Kluyveromyces lactis: one gene and its partner. The protein of the gene in region 2 purifies or fractionates together with the protein of the main gene of each other region. This does not show direct contact. Links are inferred from orthologs where the notes say so. Each region holds a gene or a part of one and is shown on either strand. Other genes may lie near its edges.

The links. Proteins that work in one complex are often made in the same cells at the same time.
Region 1: the proteins of TAF13 (region 2) and TAF2 purify together in Saccharomyces cerevisiae (affinity purification with mass spectrometry; 4 studies listed by BioGRID). This does not show direct contact. The link is inferred for Kluyveromyces lactis from reciprocal best matches to the Saccharomyces cerevisiae genes TAF13 and TAF2.

What each region holds. Positions count from the first base shown.
Region 1 is NC_006039.1:177,149-181,352, forward strand, and holds the start of TAF2 (transcription initiation factor TFIID subunit TAF2), read left to right. Parts: upstream 1-1,395; coding exon 1,396-4,204. Other genes in the region: GOR1 (glyoxylate reductase), read right to left, coding at 1-471. UniProt on the Saccharomyces cerevisiae protein: Functions as a component of the DNA-binding general transcription factor complex TFIID. Binding of TFIID to a promoter (with or without TATA element) is the initial step in pre-initiation complex (PIC) formation.
Region 2 is NC_006040.1:863,291-865,866, forward strand, and holds TAF13 (Taf13p), read left to right. Parts: upstream 1-1,572; coding exon 1,573-2,052; downstream 2,053-2,576. Other genes in the region: ARG81 (Arg81p), read right to left, coding at 1-1,006; ERO1 (ER oxidoreductin), read right to left, coding at 2,390-2,576. UniProt on the Saccharomyces cerevisiae protein: Functions as a component of the DNA-binding general transcription factor complex TFIID. Binding of TFIID to a promoter (with or without TATA element) is the initial step in pre-initiation complex (PIC) formation.

The DNA.
Region 1 (4,204 bases), on a different chromosome or scaffold from region 2:
ACCAACTGGTGCACCAGCGGCAGCGCCACCGGATGGCCATTTACCTTCTTCCATCAAACGATGACCGTACTCGAAGTTTCTTAATGCGCCTAGCAATAGGAAAACGTGAGTATCGGCAGTAGAATTGTTGACCAACTCTGGAACGTTGGAAATTTGGATGTGACGTTGACCAAATGGCGTAGGGTCAATTTGATCGTAACCGGCACCATTGTGACAAATAGCAACAACGGATTCCGGCAATGCCTTAGCCAATTCAGCATCAAATCTTCCAGTGTTCTTAACACTTGGGAACGTTCTGGTTAAGATTTGAGCCTTAGAAATTGGTGATTCCGGATCCTGACATTGATCTAAGAATTGAGCTCTTGTGAGGGATGGGTCAATTGGAATAACTTGTGCAATCTTTGAAAGCTCTTCCCATGCCTTTTGAGCGTACTTAACCTGACCTAATCTTAAAACAACTGGCTTTGACATCTTCACTTGATGCTGTCTTATCAACCTATCCGATCTCTTCAGTGACCTTCAGAAAGAAATTGGTATAGACTTTACGAATAGCGAAGATATAATTTAATGGTAATACCTCCCCTACTATATACTATAAAGGTGCAATTGAAGTGTCAAGTCGATACCGTCGCCTTTGCAATTGCTGTAACCTTATAAAGGTTTTGATGTTCGGTAGTGGTTTTTCCTGATTGCGTTGCAAAAACTCGTAAGAAGATACCCATGCAGCGTTTTTAATGATTACAAACAAGAAACAGATAGATAGATAGATAGAGAGATAGACAGAAGACATTCAAAAAATTCCGGTTAATACATCCTTTCATCTTGTGACCACCCGGAGCTTCCATCATCTGATAAACTAAGCATGCTATACTGCAACCCATAACACTTCACTTATGGATCATGTAATGCGAAGAGAAATGGATTGCTGTGTCAATCGCCCCTAACACGGTACCGTGGTTTCGAGATACGGGCAAAATTCCCGTTTTTCCTATTCCAACCACATGCCATTTTTACCTGAAGAGTGGGTAGAGAGAGTGTCGCCAGGTATTAACAGCTTTCCAAAGAGAAAGACAATCACGTGGTTCAAGGTGGAATGAATGAATGAATGTTCAACCGCCGCTGATGCCTTGTCATCCTAACCCGCATTACCCGGATAAATTTCTCGCATGGTCAATATTCAAACAAACAAAATCTTGAAATTTGAATAATATATATGCATCTGTATATGATATTATTATTATATACGTTGAATTGATATTGAAGGTATACTTAGAGATGCTTCGAAACGTGATATAGATAGAGGCACCAGACGGAATTGATCAGACGTTGAAACTTAAGCACTAAACTACGATTCTATTTGCGGTACTTCTGTACTTTGAATTTCAAACACAGAATATGGTACAAATGAAATCGACACCTAAGACACCAGGTTCGGCGTACCCAGTAGTGGAACAACAATTTGGACCACAATTCAAGGTTGCCCATCAGAGAGTACAGATAGATGTGGACCTTTCGAAGAACTGTATAGTGGGTACTACTGAGATGATTATTATGCCATTGACCCCTAATCTCGAATATATAGCTTTGGATTGTAAGAATATGAGAATAAAGGATATCATCTTTGAGAACAGACGGTTGGATAATTTTGTGCATGATGATCCTTACAAAAAACTGTCAGACTCTTACTTGAATAATTCTGAGGATGATATACTCTACAACTGTAACGGCATAGAACAGAGCCATCTATTAAGAAAGAAATTTTCAGAGTTTAACCATAATCCTGAAGGTTCATCCAAATCGCAGCTATTAGTTAAAGTGCCCTCCTCTGTGAAGATTCTGCCGCATGACGTAAACACCCTATCTGCGTACTTAGGAACCGCTGCTGGTACTTCCGGTATAACTCCCTCGTTAAGAAACACCCCGAGCACTTTCCCTAACGACACAATATATACCCCGTTGACTTTACGGGTAGACTACGAATTGGACCATCCACACACAGGTGTTTGCTTTGATACCATATCCCCTGAACCTCATCTTTGGAATGCTTATACAACAAACTCAGAACTAAATAGTTCTGTATCACATTGGTTACCATGCATAGACTCCTTGGATGAGAAATGCACATGGGATTTAGAAATATCAGTACCTAAGAGGGTGCGGGACATAGGAACCACTAAAGTTGTTGGTGCAAGAAACCTACGAAAGAGGACTGCAAGAGATAGGAGATCCAATTTGAATGCGAATGATGAACATATGAAGGAGGAAGACGATGATGAAGATGACGAAGATGAAGAGGAAGAGGATGATGAGGATGAGGATGGGACTATCCAAAACGAAGATCTGAATAGAGAAATCGTGGTCGTATGTTCTGAAATGGCAACGAGAAAGGTAACTGCCCATCCAATGGATATGGCAAAGAAGACAGTTTCCTTCCAGATATTCACTCCCGTGGCCCCACACCACATCGGTTGGGCTATCGGTGCCTTCCAGACTATAGAACTACCTTCAATCTTACAGGCCGATGAAGATGAAGAGATGGATGAATTTAAAATACCGCAACAGGAGCAAGTGTTAGCTGATGAGCCTCGTGATGAAATTCCTATATTTGTTTACACATTGCCAACTGTCGATTTGAACGAAAAAACTATCCTCAATTCTACTCTTGTTTGCCAGGAAATTATGGATTTCTATTCTAAAGAGTTTGGTTCATATCCTTTTACCTCGTACTCTTTGCTGTTTTTACCAACTTTAACGACTGACCTGATGGATTTCACAAGCGCCACCTTTTATAATTCCAGAATGCTATATCCTCCAGAAATTATAGACTTAATTTATCCTACAACCAACACACTTGCATGGGGTTTAGCAAACCAATGGTCTGGCGTTAACATCACTCCTCTAGAATTGAATGATTTATGGTGCGTTGTTGGCATGGCGGGATACATGGTATTACAATTAATACGAAAGCTCATGGGTGTCAATGAGTACAAATTCAGGATCAAAATGGCATCGGAAGCCATAGTTGAACAGGATTGGGAAAAACAGCCAATCGGAACTACTTTTGATTCTGCTTCTTTACCTATATCAACTCTATCAAAGGAAATTAATTTTATAAAATTAAAGGCTCCAATGGTGCTTTTTATTCTCGATAGAAGAATGACAAAAACAGAAAGGTCATTCGGTATGTCCCGAGTATTGCCCAAAATATACTTACAAGCTATGTCAGGGGAATTGACCAATAACTCATTGTCTAGTACCCATTTTCAGAGAGTGTGTGAACGTGTGAACAAAAATAGACTCGAAACTTTCTTCAAGCAATGGGTATACGGATCCGGTGTTCCAATATTCCGCATAACGCAAAGATTTAACAAAAAGAGAATGGCAGTTGAAATGGGCATCAGACAAGTTCAGATGCAGGAATTAGGATTAGGTAAAATCGTTGGAAAAGAAAATTTCAATTCTAGTGCTATGGAATATTTGCAAGATCAAGACAAATCTCCTACTCAGGTGTTCACCGGATCCATGACAATCAGAATCCATGAAGCTGACGGAACTCCGTATGAACATATTGTTGAACTAAAGGATGTATTTACAAAATTGGATGTTCAGTATAACACTAAATATAAAAGGTTAAAGAGAAGAAGGAAGGTTAATAGAGTGACAAAGGAAGCGAAAGAGGAAATCAATGAGGATACACAGGAGGAGGAAAATGCCAACGAAGATATAGTGCTTATTAATTGTATGGGGGATGTACTCGTTAGCAAAGATGACTGTAATAAATGGAATTTAACAGACCCAATGACAACTTCAGAAGGCGATGACTTACAGCAGCAGAATGAGGCTTTCGAATGGATAAGAATAGACTCCGATTTTGAGTGGATTTCGAAAGTGCACATTAATCAACCTGATTATATGTTTGCCTCTCAGTTACAACAAGATAGAGACGTGGAAGCGCAAGTGGAAAGTGTCAGGTTTTTTGAAGATGTGATTTTGAACGGCACATCTAATTCCCTTATATATTCCTCCATTCTCACTCGAACAGCAATGGATCCAAAATACTTTCATGGTGTCCGTCTTGCTGCTTGTAGAGCACTTTCAAAATTTACAATTAAAGCTGAAGAACAGCAAGAATTCAAGGGAGGCCCAAGGCATCTGGTTCAAATATTCAGGGAGCTTTTCTGTTACGAGGACTCTAATATTCCCA
Region 2 (2,576 bases):
GAACGTTTAGCTCCACAAAATTCCTCAATGGTACAATGCCAATGGTTTCCTTTGCATGACCACTTTTAGTTTCGGAAGTAATAGTCGGAGGTGGCGGTTGATCAGAAGATCCTCTTCTATGGAAGAGGAGCCGATAGACTCTAGCCAATTCGTCTTCATTATCGTTTCCAGATGTGCGACCGTCATTACAATTACCATTAACACTACCATTCTTTTTCCCCATATTATCTACTGTGAGAGGAGTTTGTGGCGTATCCGGTGTATTATTCTGACGAATACCCATAAATGGTATTGTTTCCCCTTGCACTGCGGACGCCGATAGTAATGCATCGTCCCGTAGTTCATTTGAGATCCACTCGTTCCCAGGAAACAACAAAGAATTCATATCGAATTCGAATAGGGAATGAAGCTGCTGCGCAGATGTATGATCATCATTAGCAGATGATGATTCCATATCTTCTGGAGTGCATAAATTTGTGCCCTCTTTCGAATCTGAATCAGCAGTTTTAACCTTATTTTTCTTATTAGCTAGTTTCTTCTGAGCTTTTTCGATGGCATTAATGAAAACTTGATTCTTCTTACGTTTCTTCCGTGGCACGTACCTTTTTTTGACCTTATCTGTGCCTTTGAACACACCAAATTTCTTTATAATCCAAGTCTTGTCTTCAGAGATGAGCTCTAAAGGAGGAGAGCTTAACGCTGATAATTCATCGTCCATATCCTCATAATACACATATTCCTCTTTGTACCGAACGAAATCAACGTTTCTTCTCTGATACTGAGGCTCATCTGGATCTTTGATTCCTGTAGGTGTTGCGGTCACATTACCCATAGTGTCAAACTGAATTGGCCGGGTCCACCGAAGTTTTACATCGTATCCTCCACATATTAACCCACCTTTCTCACATCGCTCACATCCGGGCCGCCGAAGATCACACTTTACTTTCCTTGATCTACATGTCCAGCATCCCGTGAACGTCTTCACTCTGGGCTTCGCAGGCTTCATTCCTGCTTGTATCCTCTTTGACTCACAGTCGCTGTGAAGGAAAAATAGCCTCCAATATTTACCAAACCTTCAATATCAACCACACGCAGATGAGCGTCTAAATGATGCCACTGTTGGAACAATAATATCTACTAAAACCTTATCTTGAGCGGTACTAATCGGTTTATTATCATTGCTCTGTTTATCTGATCCTCAGAAGATGCGATGTGGATCTGTCATGTCCTTTCCTCTGTTCGTCTTTTCTCAAAATTTTCACACAAGCGGAAGGGTTAGGCGATTTGTCAATTTCTTTCTCGCTAAAAAGCTCCCTATATAGCTTAACTGTTGGATGGACTGCGCATGATATTTGGGGACAAAAAAACGCAAGCGATTTTTTGCTGCGAAAAAAAAAAAAGCAAACTCGCACTATTCTTCGCTGTGTTTAAGTTGACAGTTTGACATAAAACTCAGAACCAGAATCAAAATCACGAAACAATGATCAAGCTATACAGTTTAGCTTATAGCGCATTCGTCCATTCCATGGAGTAGAGCTGACTAGTCGGTTGGAGTTCTAGATCAACACAGGAATGTCCAGAAGAATTCGTAAAACAAGTCTTTTCAGTAAAGATGTTGGCTCTTTGATGTATGCGTTTGGTGATGTCGCGCAACCTTTACCAGAGACCATTCAATGTGTAGACGAATTGGTGGTGTCTTATTTGAGCGATATATGTGCCAATGCGTACTACTCGGCTCAAACCGTGAAGAGGAATAAGATTAAAGTGGAAGATTTCAGATTTGTACTTCGAAAGGACGAGGTGAAATTAGGTAGAGCTGAAGAGTTGATTAAGATGAATAAAGTTATTACCGATGCCAGGAAACAATTTGATAATTCAGAGGGGAAATCTTTGAAACGAGTGAAAGATGACGGTGATGATGACCACATTTCGGCTGATGAAGATGAGGAGACGACAACGGTTCCTGAACCCGTTCCTACCTCACGTCCGGTAGGCAGACCAAGGAAAAAGGGAAATGAACCTCCTAAGAAGAAGAAACGGGAAACAAGCTGAGAGTTACATTCGCATTACCCCTAGCATATCTGTACTTGAAATCCTTCTCTTGCTGGGCAAAAGAAGTGAAAAAACAAAGCAATCCTCATATAAATTCTATCATTATAGTATTACGCCTTTCTGAACAAAATGCCATATTTATGCATACTTAGCGGCAACATATACGTTTATTTTTTCTATTAGCTATATATTAACCAAATGAATAGCTTATGAGAGGGTATTATTTGAACATAATCACCTTTATCTTCATAATTGGAATTTTCAGCTGGTTCTCCTGTAGTTCTTAATATCTATAAACAAATTGTCATATAAAATGACAATTTGAGAGGTTTTTAATCTATTCTTCGTAGTTGTAGGATGGATATTCAAGCTCCTCTCCTTCTTCGAGATAGTTTGGAACACCAATAAACTTGTTCCAGAGTTTATTGAGCTTTAGTACAGTGTACTTACTAACAGTGGAAGGTAGGTCCGTATAACTTGTTACGATAAACCGCAACGCTTGCTTGAAATTCTTCCATTCTACA